Linked DNA regions of Caenorhabditis elegans. Each later gene encodes a partner of the first gene's protein in a complex. Each region holds a gene or a part of one and is shown on either strand. Other genes may lie near its edges. The genes, in order: cfp-1 and wdr-5.1.

The links.
Region 2: cfp-1 (region 1) and wdr-5.1 share a complex: the UniProt entries of both Caenorhabditis elegans proteins name them as parts of the SET2 complex.

Annotation. Positions count from the first base shown.
Region 1 is NC_003282.8:14,075,845-14,084,354, reverse strand, and holds cfp-1 (CXXC-type zinc finger protein 1), read right to left. Parts: upstream 6,915-8,510; 5' UTR 6,906-6,914; coding exon 6,737-6,905; intron 5,670-6,736; coding exon 5,386-5,669; intron 4,207-5,385; coding exon 3,856-4,206; intron 2,927-3,855; coding exon 2,616-2,926; intron 2,391-2,615; coding exon 2,185-2,390; intron 1,537-2,184; coding exon 1,331-1,536; 3' UTR 788-1,330; downstream 1-787. Other genes in the region: F52B11.2 (putative phosphomannomutase), read right to left, coding at 1-382, 443-566, 716-787; ccar-1 (SAP domain-containing ribonucleoprotein), read right to left, coding at 7,750-7,947, 8,000-8,232, 8,294-8,510. UniProt on the Caenorhabditis elegans protein: Transcriptional activator that exhibits a unique DNA binding specificity for CpG motifs; enriched at promoters containing the trimethylation mark on histone H3 'Lys-4' (H3K4me3).
Region 2 is NC_003281.10:3,698,375-3,706,884, reverse strand, and holds wdr-5.1 (WD repeat-containing protein wdr-5.1), read right to left. Parts: upstream 1,601-8,510; 5' UTR 1,599-1,600; coding exon 1,485-1,598; intron 1,422-1,484; coding exon 1,164-1,421; intron 1,118-1,163; coding exon 460-1,117; intron 409-459; coding exon 308-408; 3' UTR 101-307; downstream 1-100. Other genes in the region: C14B1.3 (F-box domain-containing protein), read right to left, coding at 1,929-2,622, 2,670-2,797, 2,846-3,113, 3,165-3,229; C14B1.2 (Conserved plasma membrane protein), read right to left, coding at 3,815-4,063, 4,113-4,244, 4,299-4,415, 4,460-4,558; pdi-1 (Protein disulfide-isomerase 1), read left to right, coding at 5,430-5,519, 5,566-5,949, 6,000-6,806, 6,857-7,033; cyn-9 (Peptidyl-prolyl cis-trans isomerase 9), read left to right, coding at 7,252-7,339, 7,391-7,518, 7,564-7,767, 8,165-8,488. UniProt on the Caenorhabditis elegans protein: Contributes to histone modification. May position the N-terminus of histone H3 for efficient trimethylation at 'Lys-4'. Required for di- and trimethylation, particularly for the trimethylation at 'Lys-4' of histone H3.

The DNA.
Region 1 (8,510 bases):
CATCCAGTAGGGAATACATCAACACTAATTTGTCCTCCGATTGCAAACTGGAGCCCGTATTGCCCGAACTTCTCGCGGAGCTGCTCGGTGAACTTTTGGCGAATTCCGTGCTTCTTATCAAACTCCACAAATTGCATTCGTTCCTCTTGTGAGCAACTCCGTCCAATAGGCGACAAATTGATCATCCCGTTTCGGAATTCGACGAAATTTCCACGTTTCACAGGAAGTTGAATGTCAGACATGTAGCGGAGAGCAAAATTGATGAGCTCTTGGAGCTTCGCATCGCCGATGGCTTTCTGGATTGATTGTACTGGATACGGTTCGGTGCCCTTGAATCCGTAGAGCCCGTTCTCCGAGAATGTGTAGTCGAACAGGGAGAGCACTGGAAAAAATGAGGAAATTAGGATTTGTAATTCAAAAAAAAAAATTAGCAAAGACATACACAAATCCTTATCGTGATCTGCCAGCTGCTCTGTGATCTTCTTAAAGTCCGATCCTCCGACGATTGCCAGCGGGACACGCTTGCGAGCCTCGATCAGGAATTCTCGCATTTCAGGCGTAATAGTCTGAAAATGTTGGGGTTTTTTAAATTTAGATGTAGAAGCAAAATTTTGCCCCCCAAAAACGGCGCCTGGTCTCGACACGACATACTCTTCAAAGGCGCATTGTCGTGTCGAGACCCAGGTACCGTATCGCAAAAATCTCGCAGACTAACCTGACGAGCAGCAGTGAGTGTTCCATCGACGTCGAACACCAAAATTGTTCGGCTACTCGCTGGAGAAGTCATCTGAAAAATTTTTTTGGTGTTTTTTTTTAAATTTTTTAAGGATTTTTTTTGGAATAAAAGTTTTTTGTTGAAAAATTCGGAAAATGGAAAATAATACATTTAATGTCAATTTTCTTCGAGAGAGAGACCAAAATGTATAAAGAGAGATGAGTGAATAGTTGAGGATCAAAATGAAGAACACCGATAGAGAGAAATTGGGTGAAACAAAAAATAGAACAAAAAAAGGTTTTTGGAAAACTAGAAGAAAATAAATAAAATAATAATATAAAGAAGGGTAAGTTCAATTTGTTTTTTGTTCAAAAGATAAAAATCATAAAAATTTTGAAGAACAACGAATGAAAAAGCCAGTGCTTCGTGTAATATACGCAACGTGTCGTTAGAGTGTCTGCGTCTCTTCACTCTCTCTCTCTCCGCCATATTTCAGGACGACACCTATTCAAACAGAAAAAAATGTTGTTCAGATTTGGAAAAAAGATACGAAATTCCACGGAAATGAAAGAATATGATAGTTTTGAGGAAAAAACTAAAAAAAATAGGGAAATTTTAATTATTCTGCGTCTCCTCCTCCTTCTGTACAGCCAGATTTGCTAGAAATTCGGCGGTATCTTCCATTTCATCATCGTTTTTTGATGATGATGATGATGATGATGATGTTGAGCTGATTGGTGTCGTTGCTCCGTGAGCCGAGGCGGATGATGACGTGGATTGGGACTTGTTGAATAGGGACATTTGCTCGGAATCAATAATATCTGTAAAATTTCATTTTTAGATTTAAAAATCTGTGAAATTTTGAGGATTTTCTCATTCAGACACGGGATATGTGTCGATTTACGGAGCTCGTGTACTCCTCGAGCAGAAGCGGTTTTCCCTGGAAAAACCAGATTTTGAATTTTTTTTGCTGATTAATAACATATTTAACGGTGAAATCGCCAATTTTTTAATTTTTTTCAGTTGCTTTTAACAGCAAATTCGGCTTTTTGACCGTTAAATACAAAAAAAATTAGAGAAATTGGTCCAAATTCAAGCTTTTCGACAAAAACTGTAAAATTCTCAAACTTCTCCTCGGGGAGTACACAATTCCCGTAAATCGACACGGGGCAGTTTGTGCGAAAAATGCAGTGCCTGGTCTCGACGCGACAAATTTTCGCTAACTGCAAAAATCTGTGCGCCTTTAAAGATTACTGGAACTTTAAATTTTAGTTGCAGCGGAATTTCCAGTGATTTTTATAGTTTTCCGATAAAAAAGTTAAAAAAAAACCAAAATTTGAAATTACAGTAATCTTCAAAGGCGCACACATTTTTGCACCCAACAAAAAATTGTCGTGTCGAGACCGGCCACCGTAATTTTGGCGCGAAAATCGCAAAATTTCGCAGAAAAAATGAGCATTTTTCCGTACTCGGCTGTTTGTGCATCATAATCGACAGAGCATTCGTTGTCCATTCGGCGTGAGCATTCAATTTGTGCATCTCGTGGCACAGCTCATACATTTTCTGAAACAGACAAGCTTGTTCCAGCTCAATAGTTCCTCTCAACGATGGTATCCATTTGTGATGCTTGTGACACGCGTCCTTCTTCGTTCGACAGCCTTCCTCACCGAATGGGCTGAAAATTGATTGATTTGCAATTTTATTTGCTGAATGGCCGAGGTTTTTCTCGGCCACGGTCGAAGATCTGACAAGATTCAGCGATTTTTTTGCTATTTTTCCCGAATTTTTCTTTTTTTTCGGTCATTTTTTCACAATTTTTCACGCAAAAACGAGCAAAAAAAGCTCTAAATCTCTTGTCGGATCCTCGGCCATCAAAAAATTCTCCAAATTCTCCACTAACTCTTCCATTTCAATCAATTCTGAAACTGTCTTCGCCGTCTCAATCATTCCATCTTCCCATTTCTTCGGATAACCGCACACTTTCAAATGCTGTTCATCGCCCAGTTTTCGATGTTCTGGGCACAGAGATTTCAGCCGTTTACAGAAAGAATTCGTTCGCGAATCATATTTTTCACAATAAAACATGTCGTTATTCTTCTCCGGTGCTCCGAATGAGATTGCCTTTTCGCTTCGAGCCCAACACAGCTCAATGTGTTTTGTGTATTTTAGGAGGGGAATGTCCGGGAGACCACACACGATACAGCCTTCGTACTGAAAAAATTGAATTTTTTTACTTATTAATGAAAATGACCGTGTAAAGCTCTAACACGGCCATATGTCGATTTACGTGGCTCGTGCACTCCTCGAGGAGAAGTTTGCATCAATTTTTGTAGAGGATCTCCTTCATTTTGGACTCTTTTCTACAATTACACTGAAAATTTGATAATTTCACAAGATTTCAAGTTCCTAAAGGCACACGAATTCATTCAGATGGGTCTCGACGCGCAAACAAGTTTATGGTTCAATAAAATTACTTCGTTTTTAGCGAATTTTGTACTTTTCGTTCATTTCTCTTGTTTTTCAGGCCGAAAAATGGGGAAAGGACACATTTTTAATGGAGAAAAGATTTTTTGTACCTTGAAACTTATCTAAAACAATTTTTAATGGAAAAAATGAAAAGAAAACGGAAAAAATCGCTAAAACGGGTTTTTGGGTTTCTTTTCATTGTTTCTGTTAAAATTGTTTAAAATCAACTTGCAAAGTTCAAAAATAAGCTTCTCTCTATTAAAAAATGTGCAAATTCCCGTTTTTTGGCCTGAAAAAAAGAGAAAAATGGCAAGAAAACGGCAAAATTCGCTAAAAATGAGGTAATTTCATTGCAAAATGAAACAAAAAAGCTACCATAAACTTTTTCGCATCGAGACCCATTTAAATAAATCCGTGTGCCTTTGAAAAGTTAAAATCTTGTGAAATTACGATATTTCCAGAGTAATCGTAGAAAATAGTCCAAAATCAAGGAAATCCTGTGCAAAATTAAGACAAACTTCTCCTCGAGGAGTACACGAGCTACGTAAATCGACAAATGACAATTTTAACAGGTTTTTTGTTAGTTTTTCGGCTAAAAAACAATTTTTTGTGAATTTAAGAAGCGAAAAGGCGATTTTTTTTTTGTCATTTGAGCAAATGAGCCAAAAATGTACCAAATTATCATCATATCTCTCCTCTGTGCCCAACGGTTGAAGTTTCAACTGTGTCTTTATGAACTCGACGAGCTTATTCAAAAATGCCATCATATTCTTTTCGGATTCCGTCAATTTCTGAACTTCTCGATTGATTTTAGCCCGTTTCGGCTTGATTTCGTCCTCCAAACTGCGCGGCCCACCGGATGGGCCCTCGAAAAAGTACTGTTTACAGCGATTCGGTAGAATTTCAGTGAGCCGCATTCTGGCGAGCTCTTTTCCACACTCATCGGAACAATATTTGCTATCGATTCGAGATTCGTAAATACAATTCGGATTGAGACATTGACGAGGATGTTTATCGGGTTCTGCCTGGAAAAAATTGATTTTTTTTTTCAATTTTAATTAGTTCGGCAGGTTTTTCCTGTAGAAATTAAACGATCAATTCGTGAAAAGCAGCGCCGCACGGAAATAGAGGCGGAGCGTAATTTTGCAACCCTGCGGCACGGTTTTTCCTCCTTTTTCGACAGAAAATGTGTCTCCAATTTAGTTCGTATGATATTTTATGAGAATAAAAATTGGATAACATTTTTATTCGAAAAAAGGAGAAAAAATTGTGCCGCAGGGTTGCAAAATTACGCTCCGCCTCTATTTCTGTGCGACGCTGCGAAATTCACAGATTTGATCGTTCAGTTTCAACAGTAATATACTAACATTCAACTTCAACCCTGCTGCACGGTTTTTCGAGGCACCACGCTTTCAAGATCTGTTCAAAAACAAGATCTACGTTTTCAGGATCTGGCACCGTGCCAACTGCGGTTTTCTCGATGAAAAACGAAACAACGATGCTCCGATGTTACGCGTCGCGCGTTGTTTAGCGTATCTTCTAGAAGAAAATTTCAAAAATAGTTTTCTGAACGCTAAACAACGCGTAACATCGGAGCATCGTTGTTTCGTTTTTCATCGAGAAAACCGCAGTTGGCACGGTGCCAGATCCTGAAAACGTAGATCTTGTTTTGGAGGATCTTGTTTTTGAACAGGTCTTCAAAACGTGGTGCCTCGAAAAACCGTACCGCAGGCTTCCGAAATTACGCTACGCCTCTATTTCTGTGCGCCGCTGCAAAATTCACGGATTTTCGCGGATTTTGTTGTTTAGTTTCAGCAGTAATAGTCTCACATTCAACTGTATACACAAATTAAACGATCGATTCGTGAAAATCAGTGCCGCACAGGAGTAGAGGAGGAGCCTAATTTCGCTACCCTGCGGCACGGTTTTTTCCTTCTTTTTTGTAGATTTTTTTTTGATAAAATTTCGATTTTACCGTCTTTTTTCGAATTAAAATGCTAACCAAGTTAATTCTCAAAAATCGCATTGAAGAACATTTTTATTCGAAACAAGAGATAAAAATCGAAACTTTATTGCAAAAAATCAACAAAAAAAGAGGAAAAACCGTGCCGCAGGCTTGCGAAATTACGCTCCGCCTCCGCTATTTCTGTGCGACACTGCAAAATCCTCGGATTTGTACAGTTTCCACAGTAATAAATACTAACATTCAACTGTGTCCGTTTCCTTCTCAAATCAGCCGACTGTTGCCTCGTCGGCCTATTCGGTACATAATCTCGTTCATTTATAATATTAGCCTTCCGTTGTTGTGCAGCAGCAGCAGCTCCTCCATTCCCAGAGCCCTTCTTTCGTCCTCGCTTCTTCTTTTCAACTTGTTGCTCAATTACCACCGGAGCACTTGGTGCTGTGGTTGTGGCTGCCTGATGAGCGGCTTCTCGTTGTGCTGTTTTTGCCATTATAGCCTTCAGATTTTCGTCGGTTTGTCTTTTTACTGGAATTATTGAATTGAAATGGAGGGTTTTTTTCGTTAAAAAAAAAGACTGAAACTGACCGGAAAAGACCGAATTTCGTGATGAGAATTCTCGAAAAAATTAAATTTTGAAAAGAAAGTTAAATTTTACTAAAAATTCTAATTTTTGCCAACTTTTCCCTTTTCTAGCAACTGAAATTCCGATATTTTAAATTAAATTTTCACCATTTATCGCATTTTTTTGTTGATTTAGGATCGTTTTCAGCCTATAGGCATCAATTTTAGCCAGATGCCTATCGACCTAAAAATGTGCCTAAATTCTCAAAAAAAAAAATGCGAAAAAACTACCAAAATATACGCTAAATTGAGATAATTTCTTAAGAAGCTGGATTTCAGCCATTGTGGGAAAAAAAATTTGCGAAATTTCAGATTTTAGAAGAATTGGGAAATTTTCAGAGAAATTTTATAATTAAAATCGGTAGTTTCAAGCCATTTTTAGTCTATTTAAGGGTGAAATGACGAAATTTTGCTTTTTAAATCAAAAATCGCCCAAACTACCGAATTTCTTCATGAAATGCGCTGAAATTTTCTGAAAAAAGAAGTTAAGGGGCTTCAAAACTTGGGAAAAAAGCCTATTTTCAGCAAAAATTTCAAATTTTGCCAAAAAAAGTTTGAGATTTAGCTTAAAATAGGTATTTTTTCCAAAACTTTCAAGTTCCATAACCTTTTTTTGAGAAATTTTCAGAGCATTTCTACAGGAAATACGTTAGTTTCGGCAATTTCTGGTTGAAAAAACGAAATTTCTGTACTCCACCTGTAAAATAAAAAAATGTTATTTGAAAATGCCTTCGAAAATCGCCTGCAGGAGACGCAGACATTGTAAAAGATGAAAATTCGTTAAAAATGACGTAGAAAAATGGAAAAAAAACGAATAAAAATTAAATTTTATGCCCGAAAATCCGCAATTTATCATGGAAGCAGGTGAGCTACAAGCTTTTGCCGGTTGCCTAGGTTTCCATGCACTTTGCCTCACTAGAACTGAGCTCAGAGAAATCAATTTTTGAAAAGAATTTCCTCCAAATATAAACCTTTCTCATTATATAATCTTTTCGCTGAGAAACATTTCCGCATATCACAAGTTTTTCCATTTCGACACGGCCAACATGTTCCACAATTCTTTTCATCGTTACATCGAATACAATTCATACATCTTTCCTTCCATACATCCTCATTATCTTCGATTTCTTTATTTGACATACTGCTCATCTAAAAAAAACATATTTTTAGCCAAAAAATACGAAAAAAAAAATGGTTAAAAAGCCAATTTTTTAGCGAAAAATCGTCGATTTAATCTTGAATTTTTCGGAAATAGGGGAAAATTTCAATTTTTTAACAAATTTAGCCAAAAAATACGAAAAATGACGCAATTTTTTCTCAAAAATTTACAAAACTTAACAAAAATCCCAACATTGATCAAATTTCGCTAATTTTATTCAGAAAAATATTTTTTTTTCTCCTCTAAAAAATACGAAAAATGGTCAAAATTTGAAGCTAGTTTTGCGGAAAAATACATTTTTTTTTTCGAAATTCCGGAAAATTGGAGAAAAAATTGAGAATTTTTGGAAAAAAGGGGAAAATTTCAATGTTTTATCAAATTTTGCCTGAAAATACGAAAAATGACGCAATTTTCTAATTTTTTGGTCGAAAAATCGAATTTTTCATTGAACATTGTCGATTTTCCCGAAAAAACAAGTTTTTTTCTTAAAAATTAACAAAAATTCAACATTTTATCTTTTTTTCTTCTCAAAAAGGTAAAATCAAGTTTTTCCGGAAAAATTGATTTTTTTTGTCGAAATATCGGAAAATATTTTCATTTTCCGGATCACCATTTGCTGCCAATCTGAAAAATCTGATAAAACTTATGGAATTCTAAACCATCCTAACAGTATACAATATCACGAATATATATATTTCATTTATTTAGATATATTATGGTTATTTACGGGACGTCATTTAAAGAACAACATTTAAAAGTTAAAGAAAACCAAAAAAAAGAAGAAAAAAATAGATCATTAATTGTAGAGGGAGAGATTTGTTTTTTCTATTCCTTGGATTCTTCCACAACTTCTGCGTCTTTATCCTCAGACTCATCAATAACAATTGGTTCTGCTTCTGTAGATGGCTCAGCAGCCTGCTCAGCACTCGCTGGAACTTCTTGAGAAGGTTCTTCAGTTGATTTTTCAGCGGATTTCTCGGATACTTTGTCATCCTTCTTATCGGTTTTCTCCTTTTCGTCCTTCTGAAATAAATTATTACTTTTAAAACAAAATTAACCAAATTTTCAGAATTACCTTGCTCTTCTCCTCCTTCTTTGGTGGTGGTGGCATAACCTTCTCAACTACAGAAAAAATGCGATCAGCATGTCGTTTGCAGTCTTGAAGGGCCTGTTTCAGAGCAGAATTCTCATCTTGAGTGGACTTCAGCTGAGCACTTGTCTCATTCAATTTCTTGTTGGACTTGTGGTAGTGAGAGTCAATGTCCTTCTTTTTCTTGTCGATTTCAGCCTTGGCTTCTCGAAGTTGCTCTGAAAATTGAAATATTAAAGAATTTTTTTAAAAACAAAAACAATTATATTTAATCCCTACCGATTAATGAAAGCTGCTCACTAACAGTACTCTTCGCCTCATCTCTCTCCTTTTCAACTTGCTTCAGCAGCTTCATCTTCTGCACAACATTCACCGCTGATCCATTGATAATAACGACTCCATCCGACGAAGCAGAAACTTCCGATGATTTTACCGCCGCTCCCGAATCAGCTGGTTCCATGCTCTTCGCCAAATTGTAACCGAATCCTCGAATCAA
Region 2 (8,510 bases), on another chromosome or scaffold:
TAAAATTTTCAGCCTCAATCCAGAAAAATAAAATTAAATCTGAAAATCAAATAGAATATCGAAATAAAACGAATCAATTGAATGATCATCTCAATCATCCCACGGAAATTAATATTTATGGATTTTTATATTAGGAAGAATATATAAGGAATGACAGAAAATACGAAGTTTCAGAAAAAAAAGTGTCTGGCCACCGCGCCTCTATAATCAAGGAATATAGGAGATCAAGAAGGAAAAGCATATATACACGGTGACCAAGGGGTAAATATAAATCAAATTTTCGAAATTTTAATTAAATTTAAACAATTTAAACATCCGAGCGCCATATATGAATCTTGTTGTCTGGCTCGAGAGCTCCTGAGGCAATGATGTTCTGAACTGGATGACAATCGGAGGCTAGCACGGGTTCTGAAATGGAAAAAATTTAAATTTGCATTTTTATTTTATTTTTCGACTTACGTGTGTGTCCTTCAAGACATTGAACTATTTCCCGAGTCTGGAGATTCCAGATGTAGATCTTACAATCTTCGGAACCACTGATGATCCATTTTCCACCGGTAACAGAGAAGTTGGCGAAGATGCAATATTTGCTATTCTCGTGTCCAGTGTATTGTTTCAGGGTTTTTCCTTTCGAGAAATCCCACAATTTCAAAGTGCTGTCGAGGTTCGATGCGAGGATGTATTTTCCGTTTGGAGAGAACTTTACAAATGCCACCGGAGGATTCTCGTCGTCGACCAGAGTCTTGATGCATTGCCCATTGGCAGTGTCCCAGATACGAACTAGACCATCGTAGGATCCCGATGCGATGAGGCTGCCGTCTCTGTTGAAAGACACTGCTGACACTGGATCTGAGTGTGCTGGGAGGGTTTTTATGCACATTCCTGTCTTGACATCCCAGATACGAACGGATTCATCGAATGATCCGGAGACAACGAGCGATGATTGTGGGTTGAAATTGCAGCAGAAGACGTAGTTATTGTGTCCTTTCAAGGTTTTGGTCATTCTCGACGTTACAATTTCGAAGATTTTCAGTGTTTTGTCGTCGGAAGCAGAGACAACACAACGGCTGTCGGAACTCCATGCTATATCGTTTACACCCAGTTTGTGGCCGGTGAGCTGAAAATTTAAGGATTAATTGTAATTTTCATGAGCGGAAACATACAGTTCGCTCACAAATCATGTGATCCATGTTCCAGATTTTGACGGTTTTGTCCGCGCTGCTTGTTCCGAGATACTTTCCACATGGGGAAAATTTAGCTGAAGAAATCGATTTTGTGTGTCCTTCCAATGTACACATCAGCTTATAATTTGCTGAACCCGAGGCTGAAGCTCCGGCGGCGTTTGGATTGGGAGTTTGGGCACTGGCACCTGGAGCGGGTGTGCCAGTCGGATTTGATGGCGAAATTGAATTGGGAGAAGTCTGGAAATTGACTATTGTGAAGTCTTATTCAAAAATATACTATTTAACAATAACGAAACCTACAGATGGAGCAGGAGCTGAAGAACCTCCATCCGGAGCATTTGGTACTGTTAATTGATCGATTTGTTGTGTTGGCTGTTGCTCGGCAGCTGAAGCAGCATTTTCGCTGGTATCCATATCTGAAATCACAGCAAAAATCAAAAATTAAGTTGAAAAATGAAGAAATTCATTCAAAAAATATAAAATAGAAATCGTCGTAAGATGCAATGTGCGGTACGCAGAGGCAAGGGTGCATGCACAGCGAACACACAATTTGACGCGCAATGTTTTTGCAGTTTTTTTTTCGGAATTTCTTTTTTTTCGTTAATGAACTCATGTCATGACATGTATCCGTGTCTGATACGTGTTAAAATATTTATATATTCATTCGATTACAGATATAACAAACTTTTCCAGTCATACAAACACTTTATAAAACAGTTAAGCGAAAAATTGTCGGTGCATTATTTAATCTTCCTCGTCTTCATCTTCATGACGAGCCACAGCGGGAGGAATTCCATACATGTGACGACCACGACGAAAGAGTGGCATTCTAAAAACTCCGACTCTTGGCGGTACTTCATCATCGTCATCATCCTCGTCTTCAGCGTTAGGATTCTCGTCTTCATTGCATTTTTCGGAATCAACAGCGAGTGGTTTAACTATTGGCTCATCAGGCAGAATAACTTCGACTTGAATATTGGCAACTTTTGGTCCGTAGAATCCTCTCCAAAATTGTCTATCTTCACCTTCATTCAGAATAGTTAAATGTCGAATTCCAGACGGGTAATCGTCAAACTCAATTGTCCAATCTTCCCAAGGTTGACCAGTCCATTGAGCCCATTCCTTATTTACAGATTTATATCTTTTATGATCAGTGTTGCTCATAGTTTGTACATGGCCAAATCTTTCAATCCACTGAGTCTCGTGATAGTTCAACTGAGCAGCAAATGAGAGCCTGGCTGCACAATCATTACGATGATTGACTTTCTGTGTAATTCTAATTCTCGGGCGAACGTGATCCAAGATCCATGGGTCAATTCCAGAGTTCACCAAATCGATGAAAACACTGATTGAGCTCTCTGTGAATGAAAATACGAAGCACTTGGAAACATCCGGATGTGGTTCACAACCGTTTCCTCCATCTCTTTCCATGTGGATTCTGAAATTGTAAATATTGATTATTTTAAGAACAAAGTATTGACATACCCACTGCCATTCGCTCTGATTGAAAAATCATCTGAACGGAGAGTTCCACTTATTGTGTTGTCACGTGCATTTTCAAAATGAGAAATGAAAAGCGGAGTGATTGGTGAGTAGCCTCTTCCAGACAGAACCTGAAGTAAAACTTTGTAATTTTATTACTATAAAATGCGATAACCTACTATTTTTTTAATATTAAAATTAAAACTTGAAGTGTCAATTTCATTGTCTTCATTTCCAACAAACTTCTTCTGTGTCGCTGCTCTTCTCCACTCCAAAGATGGAAGAACATTTGATATATTTAAAATTCGAGCATATTCAATCCAAAACGAGTCACTTGATATCAAATCATTGAATCGATGGCAAGCCAATTGGCAGTTTAGAAGTGATTTTTTGTCCAGCCTTCGGAAAATTGGCGAGAAACATTCGTTCGGCACAGTTTCTGCATCTCTGAAATAATTCTAGGTGAAAAATTGATATTTTAATTAAGAAAAAACTCACATTATCACTGGAACATCGGTTTTGAACTGTAGACTTTGCATTATCGATGAGAACGCTTTAAACATTTGGGGTCGATGAGAACAATATTTTTCGATTTTAAAGAGAAGAAATGAGTCAGAAGGAGAGAGACGCAGAGAATGGAAGTCTTGCGAAATGCGCATGCATGTGATATTCGTGTTCCAAAAAACTATCACGCTGTTAATATTATTATTTTAAAGCAAAAATATTAATAAGAAAATATTCAATGCTATTTTGAGAATGAGAAAAAAACTTTCTGACAAAAATATTGAGAACCTCTAGATATTCAACTTCTTTATATATTTTATTTTTTTCCTCATCTTGCTGACTGCAACTTTTTAGATTAGTTGATATATATTTGTCTTTCTCTTCTCTTAGTTTTACAGGTTACGAAACATTGATGATCTTCCTTATCCAAAGATACGTGGACAGCAAGAAATAACTTGTCCCACTTTCTAGGTTATCGCCGCCAATACCAAGGTCAAGCAATTCATGTTCTTCAGATTTGTGTTTCTAAAAAGGAAAAAAAAACGAATAACCGTGTTTATGAAGAAATACTCGTGCAATAGGAACCTGTCAAATTGGAATAGATTAGTGATGCTATTTACAAAAATTTTGAACATGAATTAGAACTAGTGATTATCATCAAATTCCGTGGATAAATCACTGCGGAGATCAGGGTTCGGAATGGCGATTTGCTCATCCTCTCGGACTTCCAAAGCCATCTCGAAATCTTCATCTTGAACGGGACCTCTTGGAATCTCTCTTGTTGCAATACTGGTCAATGGGACATTATAGTCGGGGGAATCGTAGGCAACGTGTGAACTGAAGGTGTTCCGTTTCTTGCGCTCAGTTTTTCCTTCGCTCAGTGACATGAGTGCCTAAAAATTCAATTATCTAGCTTTAATCTTTAGTGTAATCATTTTTTACCAGCTTAATCGTGATGAAAACGTAAATCAGAGCAACGAGAATGATGTTGAGATAGACTGCAAACCAAATCCTTGTCGCCTCATCCTTCTTCAGATTTGTCATCAAGCCGTCCGACGATCTGCGCGACGTGGCCTAAAAACGGTTGTGTCAATATGACCCCTCCCACCGTCGATGTTATATACTTACTGTACTCTTTCCGAAAAGACCTGTCACAGAGTCAAACATTCCTCTTGTTTTCTCAGCTGCCGTATTCAACCACGACGGCACCTCCACGCGTTGACCGAACAATTCGATACTATTATCCTTTAATATTTATGTGTTTTGATATATCCTCATTTTGAGCCCACCTTCGAACGTAATCCTTCTGCCATCGAGTCTTCAGTCTGGTTTCTCACATAGAAACATTGAATTGAAACAACCAGCAACAGGATTAGTGGGATTTTCATAGCGGAAACCTGAATATAATGTAATATGTATGTGACAAAATCACGAAAGAAAAAAGAATTTCCAAAAAAAAATGAAATTAGAAATCATTGAAACAAGTATTTGATTGTCCACTCGGACTACACTGTATACAGCGCTTCGAGACCATATCTTTAAATCCGGTGCGTCTTTAAAAGAGTGATTATTTGACCCAGTTTTTAAAGTCATTTTTTGAGCTAATTTTAGTTCCAAAAACAACTTTTTTGATAAACTTGCCCATTCCGAATAAATTTTTTGGGTTCAGAATAATTTTAAGTTGAAGATAAGCATAATTATATTCGAATAGACTCTCATTTCCGGGCCGTCGACGTTCCTTTAGCATTGTAGTTGCACAAACTTTCAGTTCGATGTGTTTTGTTCATTTTCTCACTGTTTTAAGGTTTAGAACACAATTAATTTTCCATTAAATGCGCGAACTCTCATCTCAATAAGTCATAAAGGTCGCCACGGTGACGTCCACGTGGACATCTCCCGTACACGCGTATGCTGACGTGTCAATACTGCACTGTCCATTCGTCTTGCAGTTTCGCGGTCCTCGTTGTCTCTGCCGGGGCGTTCACGGTCTCTTCTCTTTCTCTCGTTACTCTGTTTTACAACGTGCGCTTATTCTCCTTCTCTTCTCGTCGCTCGCACTCTTCCTAGCAGGTTGTGAACGACGAGGATTTTTTAAAAGAAAAATTGACTGCGTTTGTCAATACTCATACCCTACTTTTTTGATCGCAAAGTAATGGCTAACGTATTGTTTGCACACTTATCGTTGTCTATACCTCTTTTCTCTTCAATGATAACTTCCTCAAATTTTCTATTACTATTTTTTTAAATTTTCAGGTAATTATGTCACTGTCAGTGTCCTTTATCTTCCTCCTGGTCGCATCAATCGGAGCAGTTGTTGCTGACAGCGAAAACGTGCTTGTTCTCACTGAAGTATAACATTTATTCTGATCATTATCTTCTAAAAAACTGTTTTCAGAGCAATTTCGAAGAAACTATCAATGGAAATGAGTTTGTTCTAGTCAAATTCTATGCTCCATGGTGTGTACATTGCAAGTCTCTTGCTCCAAAGTACGACGAAGCCGCCGATTTGCTGAAGGAGGAAGGATCCGATATCAAGCTCGCCAAGGTTGACGCCACCGAAAACCAAGCTCTTGCATCCAAGTTCGAGGTCCGTGGATATCCAACTATCCTCTACTTCAAGAGTGGAAAGCCAACGAAATACACCGGAGGACGCGCCACCGCTCAAATTGTCGATTGGGTCAAGAAGAAGAGTGGACCAACTGTTACCACTGTTGAGTCAGTTGAGCAACTCGAGGAATTGAAGGGAAAGACCAGAGTTGTTGTTCTTGGATACTTCAAGGTATTTTTTTACATAAAAAGTACAACCTATTTAATTTATTTATTTTTCAGGACGCGAAATCTGATGCTGCTACCATCTACAACGAAGTTGCTGATTCTGTCGATGACGCATTCTTCGCCGTTGCCGGTTCTGCTGAGGTTGCTGCTGCCGCATCTTTGAATGAAGATGGAGTCGCTCTTATCCGCACTGATGGAGACGACAGCGAGACTAGCACAATTGCTGAAGCTGAAATCACCAACACCATCGCTCTTAAGCAATGGCTCCACGCTTACAAGCTCTCTGCCGTGACCGAGTTCACCCACGAATCTGCTCAAGAAATCGTCGGAGGAGACCTCAAAAAGTTCCACTTTTTGATCATCCGCAAGTCAGACTCTTCTTTCGATGAGACTATTGCCAAGTTCACTGAGGTCGCTAAGAAGTTCCGTGCTAAGATCGTCTTTGTTCTTCTCGACGTTGATGTTGAAGAGAACGCAAGAATTCTCGAGTTCCTCGGAGTCGATGCCAAGAACACCCCAGCCAACAGAATTGTCAGCCTTGCCGATCAAGTTGAGAAGTTCAAGCCACAAGAAGGAGAAGATTTCGAAGCTTTCACCAACTCATATTTGGAAGGAAAGTCTGCTCAAGACTTGAAGGCTCAAGATCTTCCAGAAGATTGGAATGCACTCCCAGTTAAGGTTCTCGTCGCCTCCAACTTCAACGAAATTGCCCTTGATGAAACCAAGACTGTCTTCGTCAAATTCTACGCCCCATGGTGCGGACATTGCAAGCAACTGGTTCCAGTTTGGGATGAGCTTGCTGAGAAGTACGAGTCCAACCCAAATGTTGTCATTGCAAAGCTTGATGCTACTCTCAACGAGGTAAGAATTTTGAAAGTATCAATATTCATAATTATTATTTCCATTTTCAGCTTGCCGACGTCAAGGTCAACTCTTTCCCAACCCTGAAGCTGTGGCCAGCCGGATCTTCTACCCCAGTCGACTATGATGGAGACAGAAACCTCGAGAAGTTCGAAGAATTTGTCAACAAGTATGCTGGATCTGCTTCCGAATCTGAAACCGCATCTCAGGATCACGAAGAGCTTTAAATTAATAATATATATGTTATTTATTGTTTGAAGTCACGGCGTTGAATTGTGATTACTCGTTTTTTTTTGTTTCCATCCGTATATATTATATATATAAAACCCTAAAAATTGAATCCCGGAGAATGTTTTTTGTTTCGTTGAGGCTTCTGTGAAATTATATTTCTTTATTTCGGAATTTAAAATTTCGAATCGAAACCAAAACCATTTTCAGGCTGCGAATGGCCGCTGAAAAAAGAGTGTTCCTAGATATTTCAGTCGATGAGAATCTGATTGGAAGAATTGAAATACGACTTTTTGTCGAAGATGGTTAGAAATCTGCCCAGAAAATTAATTTAAAAAAAATCAATTATTTTTCAGCACCTAAAACATGTGAAAACTTTCGAGCATTGTGCACAGGAGAAGTCGGAATGACTCCAAATAATAAAGCACGGCTTCATTACAAACAAAACGAATTTCATAGAATTGTAAAGAAGTTTATGATCCAGGTCCGGCGGTTTTTAGCTGAAATTTTTGAAAAATTGACGATTTAGGGAGGAGACATCACAGAAGGAGATGGTAGAGGAGGATTCTCGATCTACGGACGATACTTTGACGATGAAAAGTTCAAATTAAAGCACTCAAGGCCCTATTTGTTGTCAATGGCCAATAAAGGACCAAATTCAAATTCTTCTCAATTTTTCATCACAACGGCTGCAGCTCCACATTGCAATGGAAAACATGTTGTTTTTGGAGAGGTGCATAATGGATTTTAAAGAATATATTAATTTTATAATTATAAAATCATGATTTCACGAGATTCTAACATAAAGGCGCAGAGATTTATTCAGATGGGTCTCGGCGCGAAAGACAGTTTATGGTAGTCATTTTTGAAGTTTTGCGTCTGTTTTCACTTTGTTAAAAATTGTTTTTCAGTTTTAAAATAAAAAGTAATGTTTTGTTCATAAAATCATTTTTACAGGGAAAACCGATTTAAAACGATTTCAAAATAACAGAAAAATGAACAAAAAAACCAACTACTATAAATTTTTAGCACGCCGAGACCCATCTCTTTAAAGCCGTGCGCCTTTAAGTCAAAATCTGTTGAAATTACGATACTTTTATACTTTAATGTTAAAATAAATTGAATTCCAGGTTGTCAAAGGACAAAACGTTGTAGATTACATCGACAATCTTGCGGTTGATGATAAATCGAAACCACTCGCAAAAGTTTTGATCTCCAATTGTGGAGAACTCGTGAAAAAGAAGAAACCATTGAAGACAGATGAAGAGCTCGCCGCTGCTCTCGAAGAGAAAAATAATAACGCAAGGGACAATGAGATCCCGAAATGCCCGAAATCTTGGCTCTATCGTGATGATGACAATGAGAAGAAGCATGAAATGAGAAATGATAAGAGAAGAGAGTATCGATCGAGAAGATCAAGATCTAGATCTCATGAGAAGAATCGCGACTATAAGGTTTATTTTGTAATGAAAAATT